Linked DNA regions of Cricetulus griseus. The protein of the gene in region 2 binds, or shares a complex with, the protein of the main gene of each other region. Links are inferred from orthologs where the notes say so. Each region holds a gene or a part of one and is shown on either strand. Other genes may lie near its edges. The genes, in order: Magoh, Upf3b, Upf2 and Magohb.

Evidence for each region.
Region 1: Upf3b (region 2) and Magoh share a complex: the UniProt entries of both Homo sapiens proteins name them as parts of the mRNA splicing-dependent exon junction complex. The link is inferred for Cricetulus griseus from reciprocal best matches to the Homo sapiens genes UPF3B and MAGOH.
Region 3: the proteins of Upf3b (region 2) and Upf2 are in contact, whole or in part, in a crystal structure (PDB 7NWU), measured with the Homo sapiens proteins. The link is inferred for Cricetulus griseus from reciprocal best matches to the Homo sapiens genes UPF3B and UPF2. Residues at the interface, in NP_542199.1 of Homo sapiens: Lys52, Arg56, Arg57, Tyr79, Glu81, Phe83, Asn85, Asp86, Thr87, Ser88, Leu89, Tyr90, His92, Tyr94, Arg96, Tyr98, Ile130, Glu132, Pro135, Phe136, Lys138, Ala139, Ala140, Arg147, Asp148, Lys150, Val151, Gly152, Thr153, Ile154; in NP_056357.1 of Homo sapiens: Lys767, Arg768, Pro769, Pro770, Leu771, Glu773, Tyr774, Lys777, Lys790, Arg793, Gln794, Arg796, Lys797, Leu798, Pro799, Trp800, Gln801, Cys811, Ile814, Asn815, Trp817, Tyr837, Gln838, Glu839, Asp840, Ile843, His844, Val846, Asp847, Gly848.
Region 4: Upf3b (region 2) and Magohb share a complex: the UniProt entries of both Homo sapiens proteins name them as parts of the mRNA splicing-dependent exon junction complex. The link is inferred for Cricetulus griseus from reciprocal best matches to the Homo sapiens genes UPF3B and MAGOHB.

What each region holds. Positions count from the first base shown.
Region 1 is NC_048595.1:41,958,713-41,964,422, forward strand, and holds the start of Magoh (protein mago nashi homolog), read right to left. Parts: upstream 3,551-5,710; 5' UTR 3,456-3,550; coding exon 3,368-3,455; intron 1,278-3,367; coding exon 1,219-1,277; intron 1-1,218. UniProt on the Homo sapiens protein: Required for pre-mRNA splicing as component of the spliceosome. Plays a redundant role with MAGOHB as core component of the exon junction complex (EJC) and in the nonsense-mediated decay (NMD) pathway.
Region 2 is NC_048604.1:29,415,756-29,420,963, forward strand, and holds the end of Upf3b (regulator of nonsense transcripts 3B), read left to right. Parts: intron 1-2,757; coding exon 2,758-2,901; 3' UTR 2,902-3,729; downstream 3,730-5,208. UniProt on the Homo sapiens protein: Involved in nonsense-mediated decay (NMD) of mRNAs containing premature stop codons by associating with the nuclear exon junction complex (EJC) and serving as link between the EJC core and NMD machinery.
Region 3 is NC_048596.1:223,229,945-223,234,889, forward strand, and holds part of Upf2 (regulator of nonsense transcripts 2), read left to right. Parts: intron 1-2,900; coding exon 2,901-3,042; intron 3,043-3,589; coding exon 3,590-3,710; coding exon of another isoform or gene 3,711-3,714; intron 3,715-4,945. UniProt on the Homo sapiens protein: Involved in nonsense-mediated decay (NMD) of mRNAs containing premature stop codons by associating with the nuclear exon junction complex (EJC).
Region 4 is NC_048601.1:16,031,897-16,037,325, forward strand, and holds the start of Magohb (protein mago nashi homolog 2), read left to right. Parts: upstream 1-1,780; 5' UTR 1,781-1,854; coding exon 1,855-1,948; exon of another isoform or gene 1,949-1,991; intron 1,992-3,877; exon of another isoform or gene 3,878-4,085; intron 4,086-5,429. UniProt on the Homo sapiens protein: Required for pre-mRNA splicing as component of the spliceosome. Plays a redundant role with MAGOH in the exon junction complex and in the nonsense-mediated decay (NMD) pathway.

The DNA.
Region 1 (5,710 bases), on a different chromosome or scaffold from region 2:
CCTTTTTTCTAGACAGGGTATCTCTAGCTTTAGAGTTTGTCCTGGAACTCAATAGAGATCCCCCTGCCTCTGCGTCCTGAGTGCTGGGATTAAAGGCATGAACCACCACTGCCCAGCCTGACTGTTATATTTTCAAGTGTGACTGAGTGGTTAAAAGGAAACAGCAACAGGGCAGTGGTGGCACACACCTTTAATACCAGCACTCGGGAGGCAGAGGCAGGGGGATCTCTGTGAGTTTGAGGCCAGCCTGGTTTACAAAGCTACACAGAGAAATCCTGTCTGGGAGTGTAGGGCAGGGGGCAGGGCAGGGGGGGGGGTGCGGCAGAGTTTTGATGTAGCTGTAATGTATGCTAGAAATCATAACAGAATGGAATACATGAACTTTATTGAAATATAAGTATGCCTAAATTTTGGCCATTATTTCTTACAAAGTAAAGCAAGAGTAACTTTGAACAAGCCTCAGATTTAATATCTGGGCCTTAATTTCCTATATATATATTTATAGAATATTCTGTCACATAAGTGTTTAAAATCAGGGTTAAAGAACATACATATATGCCAGGTGTATGCCTTATTTCCAGGGAGGCTGAGGCAGGTAAATATCTGAGTTCCAGGTCAGCTTGGTCTATACAGGGAGTTCCACAACAGCCAGACTAACCCCTGTTCCCTTTCAGAAGCAAACCCAATGCTAGGAACTATATCAAACACTGTAAATATATTTAATTCTGTGATAGTACTTAGGAGTAAAAGGTAGGTTTTATTATCCCTCATTTTGCAGATGGAAGTATAGTGACCAAGTTTAGCCAGGGAACTTATCTGAGGTCACATGGTCAGTATGGAGCATATTGAGGGTTCAAACCAACACAGAGATTTCAAAAAGTTGCTAGTTATTAATTCAGCAATCCAAATAAATAAATAAATAAATAAATAAATAAATAAATAAAAAACATGCAAACCAAAGATGTGAGAAATAATCTAGCCGTGTAGAAATAGTGCTTAGCTGGGTGTGATGGAGCACACCTTCAAACCCAGCTTGGGAGTTTCAGGATGGCCAAGGCTATACAGAGAAACCCTGTTTTGAGAAACAAAAACAAAAAACCAAATAGAAAACAAAGAAAAAGAAGTATTTGTTTCTCCACTCTTTACTTTTCATTACTATTACCAGAGAGCGCAGAAACAATGTAAAGGGCTCACTGGTAGTGAAGGACAGGGTCCTACCTCTTTTCTGATCATGACATCATTTTTGTAATTGCTGTTGTTGGCATATCGAAGTTTTCCTGTGGGGCAAATAAATAAATAAATAAATAAATAAATAAATAAATAAATGCAATTTACAACAAAACATCAACTCAGTAGCCTACTAACAATACCAACTTTGCCTAAATTATATCCAATTCTCTCTCTTGGCTGTCCTGGAACTCGATCTGTAGACCAGAATGGTCTCAAACTTACAGAGATCCACCTGCCTCTGCCTCCTGAGTATTGGGACTAAAAGTGTGGGCAACCACCGCTGTAGCCGGCATTATATTCAATGTTCAACCCAATTCACAGCTATTATATTAGTCTTTACAGTGCTCCACTTTAAATTATGAAACAGCTGAAGACTAACCTGACACTGAAATAGAGTTCAGGCAAAAGTTACTTTGATTTGGCAAAAGAACACAGGCAGGCTCTTTTACGACTCTGGCAAATAGCTTTTCAGCAGGTCAATGATCTCAGCTGTAAACAGAAATGATAATTGCTAAGTTCCCTGCACAGAGAACATGCTGAAAGTATTTTGAAAACGGTAGGAAGCGACATACACATGCCCATGTGGTCTTGTGGTATGATCTATTTCTGCATACTTTTAAATTGAGCACATTTGGTTCATAAGTCCTTCTGTGCATGAGTACAACCACCAGGCTAGTTTGGGTATATAGTGTCATGTGGCAGAAAAAAACAGGGAACTTTGGGGAGAAGCATCTAATTTAGTCTGACTGTCTGAGCAGGTTTCATGCATAAAGTGACTTAGGTGGGTGGAATATAGGAAGAATGTGAAGTGTAGGTGTGGGCTAAGGGACCAAGAATAGAGAAGATGGTGTTTTGGACCAAATTCACATCAAAGACACTGGAAACTAAAAAGTGCTTGGGATGTTGCAGGCAGAAACAAAGTAGTGTGGGCAGAGTATTGTAGGGTTGAAAAGGCAGACAGGAACTCAGCTTGGCTGTATGCCATGGTAAGGGGTTTGAATTTTGTCAGGAAGGCAGAGGGAAGTTATTGACAGTATCAGAGAACTACAGTCATCTAATTACACAGGCCTCTTGCTACATGTTCTTGTCCATCTTATAGAGAACTAACTGAAAAAGGGAAAGATTTGAGTAGAATTGTCCTTGCCTCCTCACCACACCACAACCGTCCCAAAATATTATCAATCAGATACATTCAGATCGTCTCCAACAGTATCCTAAGTCTTCTCCACGTCTATAGTCCTAGCTGTCCTAGTCCCGACCGCCATCTCATGTCTATTCTGTGTCCAAGCGCTAGGATGCTTTCTGAAGATCATCACACCTTTTCTCTTATAAGCTTCAAGCTGTTTCCTGCTGCTCCTATTTATGGTCTACAAACACCTAACATCATCTCCTACTGGTTTCCCTAGAATTCTGTCCTTCAGTCACCTCAACGGCCATCTGAAACATGCCTGGTTCTTTGCTGTCCTATGACCTCTACATTTGCCACTCCGATAGAAGACTTTTCTTCCTGAGCTTCACAAACTGACTGGTCCCTTCTCGATTCCGGCTCAATTCAAATACCCACTGTTCAGAGTGCTCTCGAAAAAGAGACCCTATTTTCGGATCACTCCTCACTACAGGAGATCACTGTTTATGGTTTCTCCCAGTACCTAAACACATGTTCCACGAGAGGGGAAATTTATCTTCGTGGCTCTGTCCCCAGAGTGGAACACGGCCCGGTGTAAGATGGACATTCAATCAATCTTTGTTGAAACGTTAACAACCTGGCTTTTTAAAGCCACTAAGAAGCCGGGCGTTGGTGGTGCATGCCTTTAATCCCAGCACTCGGGAGGCAGAGGCAGGCGGATCTCTGTGAGTTCGAGGCCAGCCTGGTCTCCAGAGCGAGTAGGCTGCCAGGACAGGCTCCAAAGCTACACAGAGAAACCCTGTCTCGAAAAACCAAAAGAACCCAAAAGTTACTAAGGAGAAGCTCCAGCGTATGGACAGAAAGGACCAGTGAGGCCGAAAGAAAAGACTACGCCTTTCACAACCCAAGAGCTCCGGTCTCAGTCCCTTCCTTCACAAAAGCCGCGGCCCGGCCTCTCCGCCCTCCCCCAGGTCCCGTTTCCCTTCCTTGTAGGCGGGAGGCCGCTCTTACCGTCAGGTCGGAATTCAAACTCCAGGAACTCATGACCGAACTTGCCTTTGTGACCCACGTAGTAACGTAGGTAAAAGTCACTCTCCATGGCTCACACGGGACAATCAAGACCGAACTTTACGAACAGATCACACTACCACGATCTGCGCCCTCTACTGACGTAACGGCGGCGCGCGGAAGTGACGCCACAACCGCGCCGTTAATAACAGTTTTTTCACCCTTGGGAGGCGGGAACGAGACTACCCCGCCCCCGCGTCCTGCGGCGAGATCCGGATCACCGCTCCTCCTTTCCGGAAATCGAGTGCTTTGCGAGGTCCTGCGCTTCCGTTACGTCCTGGGCTTCCACGGGGCAGCTTTACCTATAGGCTTAGGGCCAACCCTGCGATCTGTAGTCCAGTCAGGCTCAACCGCAATGTAAAGACACACGAAAGAGGCCATTCACACTCTGAACCCAGGTGGTCTCCACAGTAAAATGGGCAAAAAATGGCTCCCCCATCTTTGAGCACGCTGCCCCCTTCCCCACCCCCAGGGTCTGAATCAGGAGTTGCGTTTGAGGGGCAGTGTAGTAGCGAATAGCTGTGGCCTAGCACTCAAAAGCTTAACGCCGCCCAGGAGTCACGAGTTGAGGCTAGAGGCTGCATACTGTAAGACCCTGTCTCGAAAAAGTTCGCTTTACTTTTTTTTTTTTTTTTTTTTGAGACAGGGTTTCTCTGTGGCTTTGGAGGCTGTCCTGGAACTAGCTCTTGTAGACCAGGCTGGTCTCGAACTCACAGAGATCCGCCTGCCTCTGCCTCCTGAGTGCTGGGATTAAAGGCGTGCGCCACCACCAACGCCCGGCTCGCTTTACTTTTGTGTGTTTGTTTTGGGTTTTCCAGACAGAGTTACTCTGTTTAACAGCTCTGGCTGTCTCTTTTAAGAAAACTTTTCCCCGAGCAGTGTTAGTGCACACCTTTAATCCTTAAGGCAGGTGGATGTCTGTGAGTTAGAAGCCAGCATGGTCTACAGAGCGAGTTCCAGGACAGACCCCAAAGCTACAGAGAAGCCTTGTCTCGAAAAACAAACAACACCCCCCGCCCCCCCCCCCCGTTTTCAATGACTCCTTCCCCAATCCACAACGTTGCCTGGAACTTGTCTGCACTGCCAACATCCCCTTCTGCCGTTTGCTTATTTTACAATTTATAGGCAAGGTGCAGACTGACGGGGCACTTGTGACCCTCCTACCTCAACTTCCAAGAGTGTCACCTCTTAGGCACAAGTTGCCTCTCATCTCTCCTGTCTCCCAGGCTCACTGCTGTCTAGGATAGGTGCTGTGGGAGGATGTTAAAGTGGACATTGGATTCCCACTCCCAGATACCTTACCCACAGTGATTCTAAGCCACACACACACACACACACACACACACACACACACACACACACACTGTGGGAGGATGTTAAAGTGGACATTGGATTCCCACTCCCAGACACCTTACCCACAGTGATTCTAAGACACACACACACACACACACACACACACACACACACACACACACACTGTGGGAGGATGTTAAAGTGGACATTGGATTCCCACTCCCAGACACCTTACCCACAGTGATTCTAAGACACACACACACACACACACACACACACACACACACACACACTGTGGGAGGATGTTAAAGTGGACATTGGATTCCCACTCCCAGACACCTTACCCACAGTGATTCTAAGACACACACACACACACACACACACACACACACACACACACACACACTGTGGGAGGATGTTAAAGTGGACATTGGATTCCCACTCCCAGACACCTTACCCACAGTGATTCTAAGACACACACACACACACACACACACACACACACACACACACACACTGTGGGAGGATGTTAAAGTGGACATTGGATTCCCACTCCCAGACACCTTACCCACAGTGATTCTAAGACACACACACACACACACACACACACACACACACACACACACACACTGTGGGAGGATGTTAAAGTGGACATTGGATTCCCACTCCCAGACACCTTACCCACAGTGATTCTAAGACACACACACACACACACACACACACACACACACACAGGCCCAGGCCAGGACTTTGGCACCGGGCACATGCGTTTAATCCCAGCACTTCAGAGGCAGATCAGGGGAGATTTCTGAGTTTAAACGCAGCCTGGTCTACCTATCGAGTTCCAGGCCAGCCAGGACTACAAAGTGAGACCCTCTCACAAAAACAAACAAACAAAAAACCTGAAACCAAAAAAACTAGGTGAGTCAAACATGGGGTTGTTTTATTTAAGAGTCAAAGTTGACCTCTGTGAAAGTTTGCTGGCTGTGGGAA
Region 2 (5,208 bases):
TGAGGGTTCAAGTCCATGATTTTGTTGGCTTACTGAGGAATCTTGATTCTAAAATTCCACCTGTTGGGTTGGTGGGTTGTACCTAAATTTGAGCTCATGTTTTTAGCAAACATGCAGTCCCAACTACTAGGAAGGTGGAGGCAGGAAGATCACAGGAGCCTAGGAGTTCAAGAACAGCCTTGACAATACAGTGAGAGTTCATTTTCTCAAAAGTTGATGGCAATTTACTTCGGTTCTAACCTCATAGCTTTCAGGGAAGCTCCCAGGCTTTTTATTTTAAAATTTAATTAATGTATGTGTGCAAGTTGAGGTCAGAGAACAGGTTGCAAGAGTTGGCTCTTTCCTTTTTCATGTGGGCCCCAGGGATCAAAGTCACCTCCTGAACCATCTTACCAGCCAAAGTTTTCATTCAAAATTAATGTCTATATCTAATGAATATTTTTACCTATATTATATATGTATATAATATATATTTGTGCTAGGACCTTGTTAGGTAAGTAGTCTACCACTGAGCTAAAACCCCAGCCCATCCTAAACATATTTTAGGTAGTTTGGGATTTTATAGTGAATTTTTTACATGGGACAATGTGGCTCATGTCTGTAATCCCAACACTGGAAAGTTTGAGATGGGAGGAGTTCATGTTGAAGGTCAGTCAGTCTGGGCTACCTTAGGCCCTGTTCTCTCTCCTCCACCAAAAAGGGCAATTTACTGGTGGTGAATAACAGGCAGGTTGTTAAGGTTTCTCCAGAGATTTTTTCCCTAGGGCCAAGAATCTAAAACTGGCTTTGCACAGATTAGGCAAGCATCTATTACTGAGCCACAGCTTAGTCCTTTGTCATATTAGTTAGGGTTTCTTCTGCTATGAAGACACACCATGATCACGGCAACTCTAATTGGGTGACTTACAGTTCAGAGGTTCAGTCCTTTATCACTATGGTGGGACATGGCATGGAGCAGGCAGACATAGTGCTTGAGAAAGAGCTGAGAGTTCTATCTTTGATTTGCAGTCAACCAAAAGTGAACTGAGTGTCTCACTGGGCATAACTTGAGCATATATGAAACCTCAAAACCCACCCCCACAGTGACATACTTCCTCCAACAAGGCCACACCTACTCCAGCAAAGCCACACCTCCTAATAGTGCCACTCCCTATGAGGTTTGGGGGGGGCATTTACATTCAAACTACCATACCCTTGTTTGTTTTAGTTTTGACATTTAAAAAATTAAGAGCTAATTAAGTAATCTTGAGATAGCTTTGAAAATTAGGCAAATACATTATATGCATGTATGAAATTCTCAAAGAATTAATAAAAATATTATTATTTTAAAACTAGGCGATAGGTGTCTGCTTCTGCTCCCATCACCTACTGGATGAAGGGTCTAGGATGGCATATAAGGTAGTCATCAATCTCATTATCGGGGAAGGGCATTTAAGGTAGTATCTCTACTATTGTTTAGATTCTTAGTTGGGGTCATCCTTGTAGATCTCTGGACATTCCCCTAGTGCCAGATTTCTTTTTAAATTTGTAATGGCTCCCCCTATTAAGCACTGAGCTGTCCTGGAATATAGTTGTAGAGAGGGGTCAAGACCATACTAGAGAAACCCACAGAAACAGTGGACCTGACCAAGAGAGAACACACAGACCCCAATCAGAAAGTTCGGCAACCAGATTGGACCGAACCAAGCCCTCTGAAAGTGGGTACCACTTAGGAGTCTATGGGACCTCTGACAGTGAAACCAGTGTTGATCCCTAGTGCACAAATGGACTTTGAGAGCCCATTCCCCAAGGAGGGATACTCTCTCCACCCAGATACACAGAGGAGGGCTTAGGCCCTCCCCCAAATGATGTGACAGACTGATGATCCCCGATGGAAGGTCTCACCCTCAATGGGGGGTGGGATGGGGGATTGGTGGGGGAATGGGAGGGAGGGGAACTGGGATTCATATGTAAAATATGATTGTTTCTAAACTAAATAAAAAAACTAAAAAAAAACAAAAACTAGGCAATAGATTTGTCAATTGTTTTTTTCTTTTTTCTTTTTTTTCCTTTCTTTTTTCTTTTCTTTTTTTTTTTTTTTTTGGTTTTTCCAGGCAGGATTTCTCTGTGGCTTTGGAGGCTGTCCTGGAACTAGCTCTTGTAGACCAGGCTGTCCTTGAACTCACAGAGATCCACCTGTCTCTGCCTCTCCAGTGCTGGGATTAAAGGCCTGCGCCACCACTGCCTGGCCAGACATGTGATTCTTAAGTGACTGTTAATTGGGTATGGTGTCAAACACCTTTAATCCCAGCATTCAGAAGGCAGAAGCAGATGGATTTCTGTGAGTTCGAGGCCAGCCAGGGCTACACAGAGAAAGCCTGTGTGAAATAAAGAAGTGACAGCAGCTATAGCTAGTGTTGATGGCCTGTAGTCCTAGCTACTTAGAAAGCTGAGGCAAGAAGATGTTAAGTTGAAGGTCTACCTGGGCAACTTAGTGATAGCCTGTCTCAGAATGAATAAAAAGGGGGCTGGAAATGGAGCTCAGTAGAGCACTTAACTAATGCACAAGGCTCTTGTTTCAATCCCTCCTTTAAAAAAAAAGAAAGAGGTTACTTTTCAGATGGAGAGAGGAAATGGGACTATGTAGCACACATTCAGGTCTTTGACCTGGTATAACTTGATTAGGGGGGTATGTGAAAGTACAGTTTAGGTCTCTAAAATCCCCCATGTTCAAGAAGAGTAACAGTGTTGTAACATGAATATTTTGTTTTGTTTCAGGATCGTCCAGCAATGCAGCTTTACCAACCAGGAGCTCGAAGCCGAAGTCGACTCTGTCCCCCTGATGACAAGCCTGGAGATTCACCAGTGGACAAAAAGCAGGAAAGTGGTATTAGCCATAGAAAAGAAGGAGGAGAGGAGTGAGAAGTCCCGATGGCCATAGGTGTCCTGACTGTCCAGGCAGCCAAAGAGCACGTATTATGCTATCCAGAAGTGCCTTCAGGGCAAAGGAACAGAGAACAAGAAAACGGGTCGCTGTGCTGGTGGGGTGCACTGCAGAGGAGTGTAGTGTGTCTAAGCAGGAATAAGATTGCAGGCTCAGAATCAGAAGAACAATTTCATTGTCTTTTGCAGTTTTCACAATTTTAATGTCTCAGAAAAAGAAGGTAGGAAGAGCATTGCAAGTGAAAAATGTCAAGTAAGGACTTAACTTTGACAAGCCAAAAAGGAGCAGGGTCGAAAATCAACAGGTGTTCTAAATCCTGGCTTGGAGTGTCTTAGTTGGAATGGAGCAGAAGCACACTAAGTCTTGTTGGGCTCTAACTATTTTGCATTGTTGGTGATAACCATTGACTTGGTAGTGTAGAAGCAACAAGCATGTAATTATAGCACAAGTAGAGTGCAGGATAGAACAAATTACGGCTGATGGAAAAGATTAATAGTCACCTTACATCTATATCCTGTGTCTGAAGTTTTTGTAATTATAGCTTGTTTTGTTTACTTCTGTGAAAGTAGCATCAAAAAATATTTGTAAATGTCTTATTTTGCCTTTAGCATTTTTTCTATTAATAGGTAAAGTGTAATCCTTGTTTAGTTGCTGACAATCTAGTGTTTGTTTTATCTTAGGTGTGATGACTTAAGTGCATACCCTCTCCAGGACGGAAACTACGCCAATATCTGTTCCTGTTAAATGGCAGCTTTCAGTCATAGCTTGTTTTGTATTGCTGTCAATAAATTTTGAATTCACTCAAATATGAAAGTACATTTATTTATTCACATACTGGCTTATTTATAGGACTGGGAATGGAATCAAGGGCCTCTTCCACTCAGCTATAACCTCTCCAGCCCCAAGCTAAGTGACTTTATTAACCTTGTTAAGTAGCTGTTGGTTTTCAGAGATTAAACATTTGATACTGAATTAACTTCTTGGGAACTTTGAAAGGGCATAAATGATATTAATTTCTGCCTTCAGTAGGCAAGGAAATTTTCCACCAAAAAGAGGGGTCAGATCATGGTTCACCATTCTTTTACTGTAACAAAATGAAGCTGGTCTGTGTGGTTCGAACCTGCAATGCCAGCACTCAGGTCAAGGCATGAGGATTGACATGAATTTGAGGTCATCCTGGACTACATAGTAGGATGTAGGGCTAACCTGTGCCAGAAAGTGAGACTGCCTTCACACAACAAATGCACAACATTCTTTTTTTCCTCTTTATTTATTCTATGTATCTTTTACATTGTGTATCTTGATCCCATTCATTTCCTTGTCCCTTCTAATCCCCCTCTACCCCTGCATCCCCTCTCAGATAAAACAAAAGAGAAGGGAAAAGAAAAAAAAGGAAAAAATTAAAAATCTCGTCATGGAATCTGTAGTGTGACACAGTGAATCACACAGTAAACCCTTTTGTCCATATCTCTTTACTTGCAAGTGTTCATTGCAAAGAATCTGGTTCGCGGCCTCTGGTTTCTGTTACACTACTAATGTTGGGCCCTCACTGGGCCTCCTCTTGGATATCCTGTTGTTGCCCTGTGTCCTGGAGATCCTGTAGCTTTGGGTCTGCGGGTCAGGTCCCTTCATGTGCTCCAGCAGATCACAGATGGGGTGGAGTGGATGTTGGGGCTGGTCAAGTCCATAATCCTAGGTCTGGGCCCAGGCTGCTTCAGGGTTTATCAGCCCACCAGCTCCTCCTTGTCCTCACCACTAGGATGGGCTCTCCAGCATTGCCCAAGCTAATGCACCTCTTGCAGCAGTGAAGGATGGAGCCAGTTCTCCTGCTTTCATGCCCTCAGGGTCTGCTCTTCCACACCAACACCATCAGGGCCAGCTCTACTGTGTTGCCCCTGTGAGGTCCAGGGGCCCTTCTTCTCAGCACTGCAGCTGGTGAGGGGTAGGGACAGCTCTCAGGCTCTTATGACCTAATGGCCAGCTCCTCCACCTGTCTCAGGCATCTCTCCTCTGCCCATGCTGCCATATGTCAGATGAGTAATGGGGACAGCTGTCCTTTGCTGTCACCCTTACCTCCAAATACCCTGCCAGCTGTGCTGTGCTGTCTAGGCAAGGGCGGGGCCTGCTTGCCTGAATGCTGCAGCTGGTGAGGGGGAGGGTCAGCTTTAGTCTGTTGCAGGCAGTGAGGGGCAATGGGTAAGGGGGGCATCTCTTCCCTACCCACACTGCCCCATGACAGACAAGCAATGGGGCACAGCATTCTTGAGCTTCTGCCGGATTTCCTT
Region 3 (4,945 bases), on a different chromosome or scaffold from region 2:
AAGAGCATTCAGTGCTCTTAACTACTAAGCCATCTCTCCAGCCCTGAGTATCTCTGTTCTTGTCCATACTTTCTTGTTTAGATAAGTGATCTTGGAAGTCCTACTTTATACCATTCTTTTGCTGGCTGGTATGTGAAGTCTCGATTATAGCAACATAATAGGGCCAAGGCCCACCCCTCTGTCTGTGCTTTCTGTGCTCACTCAGTCTCTAAGGAGGAAAGTGAGAGCTGGTTTTGGTAGGAATCCTAAATTAGGTGTTATATCCAGATCTTTACCAAAACTACTTTTCAGTTACCTGGAGTTGTTAATTTACCACTGAAACCAGGAACCTCAAATCCCAGAGATTGAACTTTTTTCCCTAGGCCTACTTAGTTTTTTGAGCTAGACTTTTTAAAAAGAAACTTAGTCATCACATTTTAGGTCTCCTTTATTCTCCTCTGTGCTCTTCCGCTGTACCCCCTACCCATGCCAACGACTTTTCTTGGCACACACACAAAGTCTGAAAAGGTAATTTAATTCTAGCATTTTAAAGCATATACAATACACAAAGCCTTTACATGGTGGGGGGCCCAAAGGGCAGTGTTTAGCAACTATACATAATTAGGTATTTCTTGGTTCTCATTACTGCATAGCTACTCATGCCTTGGCATGTACCTTGGGGTCCTGAGTTTTACTAACTGAAAGGAAGCTTAGAATTTTCTTTTCTGAAGAAAAGCTATACAACAGTTTTCCTCTTTGTTATATTCAGTTACACATAAAAATCCATTGTCATCAGATTGCACATGCTGTTTAGTCTGTATACAACTTGTAGGCTCTGAAATTAAATCAAGATGTACCTTAAGGCTAGGCATGTTGATACACACCTATAATTCTCAGAGGTTGAAACAGGGTCATTAATCTGAAGGCCAGTTTCAGGAAAATTATTTGAAGAAGCATCATGGTATTTTGTGGTTTGAATAAGTGTATTTTGTTGTGGGTTTTGTTTTTTTTATTTAGCTTTTAGATGTTGGCTTTTTGATGCAACGGCTTTTTTTTCAAGTGTAAAATTTGTTGCTGTATAGGAATGTTTAATTGTTCAGTTCAGTGAAAGATCTCTTTGTGTACCAGATTCCTGTTTAGAAAAAACTTACTATGACATCATCTGCAAAAAATTGTTTATCAATGAAGTGAGTTGGTGAAGAGAAGTAAAAGAAAAACAGTGTCAAAAATCAATGTCTACATTTACATATTTATGAATTTGATCATTAAAAAATTTTAGCATAATAGCTCTGTTATATAATTCAGCATATTTTGTTTTTAAAAATACAAAGTAAACTGCGCACTAGTGGCACACACCTTTAATCCCAGTTCTCAGGAGGCAGAGGCAGGTGGATGTCTTGAGTTCAAGGCCAACCTGGTAGTCTACAGAGTGAGTTTCTCAAGATAGCTAGGGCTACACAGAGAAACCCTGTCTTGAAGAAAAAAGAGAGTAGGGGTTAGAGAAATGGCTCAACAGTTCAGTGTTTGCGATACAATCATGAGGACCGGAGTTTGGTTCCAGCAAACCAGAATCCCACAGACACCTGTAACTCAGCTCTGAGGAATCCAACACTCTCTTTTCTCCTTCACACAAGCAAATATGCAAATAAAATGAATGCTTAAAAAATGCAAAGTAGCCGGGCATTGGTGGCGCACGCCTTTAATCCCAGCACTCGGCAGGCAGAGGCAGGTGGATCTCTGTGAGTTCGAGACCATCCTGGTCTACAAGAGCTAGTTCCAGGACAGCCTCTAAAACCACAGAGAAACCCTATATCGAAAAACCCAAAAAAAAAAAAAAAAAAAAGCAAAGTATATTTAACTTAATACTGGAAGACAAACCATTCTTTTGCAACCAGTACCCATAAAGAATTATGATTTGTTACATGTTTCAACTAGAATAATTAGTACTTACTATAACTTGAGACTCTATATTATATGTATGTATGTATGTATGTATGTATGTATGTAATTTTAAAATGCAGCTGTTATGATCCAGCTTTAAACACCTTCAGTCCCCTACTGTTACTGACACATGCTCCAGAAGCTCAGTGAGTGATCATGCCTTTGATCTAGAGTCATACATTAGGTCTCTTAGGACAGTGCAACCGAGATTTTAGGTTATATGCTTAGGTGGTTAGTATAGCTTACTTTAAAAATTTCCCATGGAACCATGAGCCATGATTTTATAGATTTTTATCTAGGTTTGTCTGCCATATGCATTCCTAAGCTAGAAACACCTTGCTTAAAACAAGCATTCCAAGAAAGGGAACTGGATCTCTGGGTCAGTTGCTTCAGTCTCATCTTCAAAACGAAGTACTCAGAGTGAGGAAGATGGGTCAGATTTGTCCTATATAGTTTGGGAAGCAGGTAGAAATGTAAGGAATATGCCTTTCATTTTGCTTTATAAAAGCCTTTTAAAAGTTGTTTACATATCACTGGTCTGCAGGATGAAAAGTTGTCCTGGCTCTAGGCATTTTCTTCCAGAGAACTGCTATTCATGAAGTCAATTAAACTTAGTGGCTTTCTGGTTTTCATCCACTGCCAAAAGGCTGTGTTTCTTCTTAGGATAATACAGGTATCATTTGGACAAATCTGATGTATAGTGAAGGATACATTGGGGTTTTCTGATTTGTTTGGTGTTTGGTTTTTGGGTTTTTTTTGGACAGGGTTTCTTGTGTAACTTGCCTGTCCTAGCACTAACTGTGTAGATTGGGCTGGCTTCGAACGCAGAGATCCACCTGTCTCTGCCTCCCAAGTGATAGGACTAAAGGTGTGCACCACCACTGCTCAGCCTAATAGTACTGCTTTCTAAACTAATATATTCAATTCTACTTGACTATTTTATCAAGCTATTTGTGATTCCAATGTTATTTTTCCTCCAGTTTAAGATTCTTAATGTGCCCATGTCATCCCAACTTGCTGCAAATCATTGGAACCAGCAACAAGCAGAACAAGAGGAGAGGATGAGAATGAAAAAGCTCACATTAGATATCAATGAACGACAAGAACAAGAAGATTATCAAGGTATAAAATAATTTATAGGCAGGCTGGAAAGATGGCTCAGAGGTCTGAGTTCAATTTCCAGCAACCATGTGGTGGCTCACAACCATCTATAATGAGATCTGATGCCCTCTCCTGGTGTACAGGCAGAACATTGTATACATAGTAAATATATAAGTCTTTTTTTAAAAAAGATAGTGTATAAGATAGTAATAATAATTTATAGGCCAGGAATGTGGCATAGGCCATAGGCTTACAATGCCATCACTCTGGAGGCTGAGGCAGGAAGATCACCAAACATTTGAAGACAGCTTAGGCTACATAGTAAGACTTTCTCAAAAAGAAAAAAGAAACCTGCTAACAATGTATACCAGATATCAAAATTGTTACTTCCTTTACCTTTTCATGCTTTCAATACCTCATAATCATTAGCCTATATAATACTCGTTTTTTGAAAGTTACTATGTATATATGAACGCCAATGAACTGGATCTCCCTGGTGATTTGTGTATTTGTAGAAGTACATATTTACAAGAGCTAACAGCATTTTTCCCTTTGCTCCTAATCACAGAAATGTTGCAGTCTCTTGCACAACGCCCAGCTCCAGCCAACACCAATCGTGAGCGGCGGCCTCGTTACCAACATCCAAAGGGAGCACCTAATGCAGATCTAATCTTTAAGACTGGTGGGAGGTAAACAGCCTTCACTTGCTTCTTCCTCACAAGGGTTTCTGTTAGTGTTTTTGTGAACAAATTGAGAGTTTGGGATTAGACTCAGTACAGTTAATTTTATTGAAGCCTGTTACATCAATGCTAAACATACAAAATAGCTTAGGAGATGATGAGAAATATTAGTTTCCAAGTCTCCTCCAAGCTCATTCCTTGTATCCTTTCTTTGTGAGAGTCTTAAACTCTTCAGCTAACCTCTGTGTCCTATTTTATCTAAAACCACAACTTTAAAAAAAGAAAAAGAACAACTTAACTTATCTATTGTCTTAGGGTTTCTATTGCTATGACAAACACCATGACCAAAAAGCACGTTGGGAAGAAAAAGAGAGTTTATTCAGCTTACACTTCCATGTTGCTGTTCACCAAAGGAAGTTGGGATAGGAACTCAAACAGGATAGGATCCTGGAGGCAGGAGCTGATGGAGGGGTGCTGTTTACTGGCTTGCTCCCCAAGGCTTGCTCAGCCTGCTTTCTTACAGAACCCAGGACCAGCAGTCCAGGGATGGCATCACCCACAATGGGCTGGGCCCTCCCCCATTGACCACTAATTCAGAAAAATGTCTTACAGCTGAATCTCATGGAGGCTTTTCCTCAACTGAGGCTCTGATGACTCTAGCTTGTGTCAAGTTGACACACAAAACCAGCCAGTACAACTAACCAATTGTTGACATGACGCATAAACACATCACTATTAAGCCACAGTCTTTCCTTTCTTATCCACCCCCAAGATCTCACATTAAAAACATAAATAACTTTAAAAGTCTCATAATCTTTACAAATTGAAAAGCATTAAAAGTTCAGTCTCTTTAAAATATCAACTCTCTCTAAAAATCCAAAATCTTCTTAAAAAGTTGAAAGTCTTTCAGCTGTGGGCTCCTATAAAATCAAAATTAAATACTTTCTTACTTCAAGAGAGAACCAGAGCACAGCCACAAACCAAAGCAAAACCAAACTCCAGCTGTGTGAACAATACAACATCCAATGTGTGTGCTCAACTCATGGTCTTCAGGACTTCACCAAAGGTCTTGGATCATTTCCTGTGCTTTGCCCTCTTCACTCAGCTTGTCCTCTCCACTGTGGCTGACTCTACTCCACTGCTGCTGCTGTCCTTGGTGGTTGTCCCATGGTACTGGCATCTCCAAATGCTGGGGTCCTCTGCTGTAACTGGGCTGCGCTTTCACCAATAACCTCTTAGAGGCT
Region 4 (5,429 bases), on a different chromosome or scaffold from region 2:
GGTGACAGTGTTGAGATTGTACTTTCCCAGGATTACTGCAGAAGGCTATCAGTCACCAGATAGGATTACTCAGTGCTGGTAACAGAGAGGTGATCAGGATTCGAAACTCGGACTGTGTGCAAGCTCACTGTCATTTTGTGCTCTTCAATACCATCTCACACCATAATGCTCCTTACCTCTCCAGTTTAAGCCATTGGGAATTGTGGCCTACCCCCCCCCCCAACTGTTAATCCTTACAAATGAAGCGACTCATAAGTTCTACTTATGAAAAACTTTACCCCGATGGCTGTCTGGGCTTTTCAACTTCATGTGCTGTTTGAACACCAAACTTCCCACTAGAGCGATTCATTTTACTTTTGTCTTTAAAATTTTATTTCTTTTTCCTTTTCTTTGTTTGCTCTCTTAGTCTTAGTTTAGGCTGTTGGCTACTGGGTAACTGTGAAGCACTGTGCAAAGGCTTGTTAGGACTCAGGAAGATATTCTGGTTGCCACTGGAATGCATCTTTACTCACCTCACCAGTTACAGGAAGTAGAGCCACACCCCGCTTTACAATGTGCTTCGAGATCAGAGATACCCACAAGAAGTGCAGCTTGTAAACCTTGGCTAAAAACCCAGAAAAGCCACACCCACACCAGAGGGCAACCAGAAAGTACAAGTGGTTTACGAATGTTCCTCCCAAGCCCATTAAAGAAAAAAAAGAAAAGCTATTTGTTCATTACTAAGATAAAATGAAATTGGAAGGAAAAAGGATGAATCTGGAAATTATTATAGTAAGTGGGGGGTAACCGTGAAGTATTAAGACAGATAACCCATTCACTCTTGAACGTGGATCTTAGCTTGTGTACGTAGTTAGATGCTTTTGAGTGTTGGTTATCAAACCAGAAAGGGGACTGGGGGCTAGTTAAAGAAATGGACTGACGAGGTAACAAGGTGCATTTGACAAGACAGTGCGTGTTATGATAATGTGTGGGGAACCTTGGCAGGCGAGGGACAAACATGCCAGGCAGGCAGAGTTTAAGTGAGATTAGAAAGGGAAAGGAGGGGGGGCGGAGGAAAGAGAAAAGAGACACAGAGGCAGAGAGAGAACAGAAGAGAAGAGGGAGACAGGAAAAGTCCTGTCTGCCCCAAGGGAGCAGCGGGAAAGAGAGCCTGAAAGAGAGCATAAGAGGGCGGGGTGGGGTGGGGGTGTGTCTCTCTCTTTTAAAGGGGGTCCTTTGCACCTGCGTGCAGACTTCGCAACCACGGACCCCTGGGCTGACCCGGGTACTGCCCGAGTGCATTCTGCCAGGTGACGGGGACAGGCAAGCATAATGCCTGAGTCCTTAAAGTGCGAGCAGGAATACGCGGGCAGAAGGGCTGGAGGCAGTAGATGGAGGAGGTCACACCCAAACAATACAGAATCCAGGTCATGAAATCCGGGGACTTCAGCCTCCATCGTGCTCGTGCAAGCAACCCTTACTAAACTCGGTGAGGGCCCCCGACCCACCCGCAACCCAGACACAAGGAAGACAGAAAAGGAGACAGAAAAGGAGAGAGGGTAACGAGGAGGAAGTGACTAAAATTCATCATACACGTGTATGAAAATCGTCCAAGAACTAAAAGGGAAAGAGCAAACCATATAAAAATCCTTTCCCAAACGAAAACAACGTGCTTGGGATCTCGGTGCAGCCGCTGCTGCGCGAACCTCTAGCTGTCCTCAGCGTGTCCGGCGGGACCCGCGGCTCCCCTGGCTTTCTTTTCCCTAGGGAGAAGGCGCGCCCGCCGTGACGTTCTTTGCCCGCGCCCCTGACGTCACTGCCCCGCGCCGGCGGCACGTTGGCCTGGCCGTGCAGCGGGCTGGGCCGACGGCAAAAATGTCTATGGCTAGTGATTTCTACCTGCGCTACTACGTAGGGCACAAGGGCAAGTTCGGGCACGAGTTTCTGGAGTTCGAGTTTCGGCCGGACGGTGAGCGGCGGAGGGGCCGCGAGGGAGGGCGAGCCCCCAGCGGGTGGGTTTCTATTTCTGTTCTTCCTTTCTGTGTTATTTCAGTTTTCCTGTTTGGTTTTGAGTCCGGGGTGTGTGTTGGGAGGGGGGGGGGTCTCGTTGTTTAGTCCAGGATGACTTCGAACTCCCGGTCCTCCAGCCGGGCTGGAAGGGCTTCTTTCCGACATAGATTAGAAAGCGCCCGAGCGTGCAGCGTAGCGGGCTTGGGTGTTTGTTTTTGTGAGAGCAAAATTGCTGTAAAGGTATCCAGAAAAGCGCACCCAGCTACCGCCAGCGAAGTTGAACACGGAAAAATCGGAAACCCAGAATGCAGAGCCTGTGCCTCGGCAGTGTTGACGGAATTACCGAGTGATACTTCAGCAGATACTTGAAGTCTTTGGGGGGCCTTTTGGCCTGCTCGCTCATTTACTCTGTGTTGAGGATGCTTTCTAGGGGAGGAAGCTCCCCTGTCTGAACAGGAGTGTGATGTGTGTTAGGCATTGAAATACCGTCTTTATCATGATACGTGGATGGATGGAGGTCAGAGGGAAGGCCCTAAATGAAAGCTTCCCAGAAGCGCCTTTCTCATTGCCTACTAGGTGTTCAGCCCTGTTAAAAAGAAGCTGACTATCTCCTCCCCAGCCACTGGCTGTCAGAGCAAGTAGACGGTGAACACAAGCTCTGTGCTTTCTGAGAGAGGCAAAGGCGGAGGAAGTAGCTGCTGTTGCTCTGGGTGGAGAGTGGAGGACTTGTGTGGTCCCACTCATTGGTGGGAACGACAGATAAGGTTTCCCACGAAATAAGGCTTCATGACCCCCTGCAGAGTGTGTCTGCTGTCCAGTAAGGAGCATACTTGCTGTAGATCAAGGAGAAACATTGTGGATGCCAATCTGATTGTCTTCAGATTGGTTATCATTAAAAAAAAAGGATAGTCCTGGACTGACAGCTAGCAGAGTCCTAAAGCTTTTCAATTTCTCTAAAGATGGTATCTACCAGTATTTTGTCAGAAAGCTCTTAAACAAAGAAGGTAAGAAGTCCGGGGCCAAAGCACCCAAGATTCTCAACTCCAACTTACTGCTCTGAAGAAACAACACACTAAGAAAAACGACAAAGCTGCAGGATATGCTACACTCTTGGCCTACAGAATGAAGGAAGCCAAAAACAACAACAACAACAACAACAACAACAACAAAAAACCAAACCAAACACCAAAAAAAACCCCAAAACCCAAAACAACCCCCAAACAAAAAAACACCAGGCATAGATTTCCAAGAGACATAGGCTGTCCTTGCTGAGAACTTCTACTTTTAAGTCTGAGTCCAGTAAAGAGTAACAAATAAATGATCAAACCTTGAGTTGAAAAAAGAAAACAAAAACAAACAAAAAAACCCCAAACCCAAAAGCTTCCCCTAAACCAGGTGTGGTGGCTCATGCTTCTAATCCCAGCACTTTTGGGAGGCAGAGGCAAGTGGAGCTCTGTGAGTTCCAGGCCAGCCTGGTCTATAGAATGAGTTCTGGGATGGCCAGGGCTATACAGAGAAAGTCCTTCTGTAAAAACAAAACAAAATACCAAAAATAAAATACAATAAGCCAAGCTAAAAAAAAAAAAAAAAAAAAAAAGTCCCAACCCCATAAAAGCTTCTCCTAGAAGATGAGACACTTGAGATCAAAAGGAAACACTTTCTTGTCTTCTGGGTGAAAGAAAAACCAGAGATGAGCAGAGTGAGCAGTGGTTTGTGGAAGCCCCTCCAGTGTAGTGTAAGGCAGTTCTGTCTGGACAGATCTGCTTTCCTGGGTTTTATTTTTGAATACATATTTAAGTGCCAAAGCTGAAGGTCGAACGTGAGACACAGACTTTTGTTTTTGATTTTGTTTTTTTTGAGACAGGGTTTCTCTGTGTATCTTTGTAGACCAGTCTGGTCTTGAAGTCACAGAGATCGCCTCCCCCTGCCTCCTGAGTGCTGGGATTAAAGACATGTGCCACCACCGCCCGGCTGAGACACAGGCGTTTAATCGTATGACTGTATAGATTTTAATTAAGTGCTGTGGACACGCTTCTTTGAAAAGGAAAGTAGGAGAGGATCATGTATATGAATCAAGCTTTGCAGAAGAAGTCAAGGTAACTGTGATCCTGTAGTTGTTTAGAAACTTAATAACTTTACCCTTTGTTCTCCAAAATTTGTTTGGAGCAAACTTACTTTGTTTTTTTGTGGTTGTGGTGGTGGTTTTGTATTTTTTAATTTGATTTGCTTTTTTTATTTCTTTTGTAGTTCTGTTCTTAGCCCCCTTGGCTGTGAGTGCCATGCAGCTTGTCCTTGTCACCCCGAGTCACACAAATAAGAGTAATACTTACCAGGGAAATGCTCTGTATGGATTGGTTCTCATGCACCTTTGCCACCCAATCATTCCACTTACATGAGAAATAGTGACTCACAGAATTTACAGTTCTTGCTGGGTACACCCCAGTATGGTGATCTGTCATTTTAGCAGATAAGAAAGCCATCACAGCTGTATCAGCCCATGGCTGACTAGCCATGCAGGGATGCACACTTTGGGAGCTTCGGAGGTCATGACAGATGGTTTGAAATAAATCAGCCAACAAACTGGCAGTTTACATGGTCTGCATGCTTCCAGTTATAATTTAAAGATTTTTTTCATTATCTTAATTATACACTAATTTGAAGGAAAACAATTAAGAGAATATTTTGGAATAGTAGAGAAAGGGTTGATACAAAGGAGACTTCTTGAGACTTGTGTGACTCTGAGCAAGTTGCTTAACTTGATTTTATGCCCTGTGAATAGGTGAGAAAGTGGAAGCTGCTGCTCGAATTCCTTTAGAGATCAGAAGAAATGCTGTGAGAGCTGCCTTAAGCATCAGCATGTCACACTTGAAGAGAATACTCAGTGCTTTGTCACAGTCACGTTTAGTTTAGGGGCTAGATTGAGAAAATAATCTTGTTTGTTGTGAACAACTTTAATCCCAGCAGTTAGGACACAGACTGAGGCAGGTGGATAGATCTCTGTGAGTTCAAGACCACCAACCTGACTACACAGTGAGATCTTGTCTCAGAAAGGGGAGGGGGGTGAGAACAGGCCTTAAGAAACCTGACCCATTCTAAATGGAAGCTGTGGAACATTTTTTTAATTATTAGTTTTTATTCTTTTATTAGTTCAAATTAGGAACAAGCTTGCTTCACGTGTCAATCCCTTCTCCCTCTCCCTCCCCTCCACCCAACATCCCAACTGCCCCTAGCCATCCCCCCTCCACTCCCCAGGCAGGGTAAGGCCCTCAAAAGGGGCTCCCCAAATTCTACCACATCATGCTGTGGAACATATTTAAGTTTGCTAGCTCACTTTTATATTATTGAGTGTTTATCACTCATCTTACACGAGGAAAGTAGATTTGCTACTAAAAGTGGGATATGAAATTGGCCTTCCCTTTAAAATTGCTCATGGTGTTCTT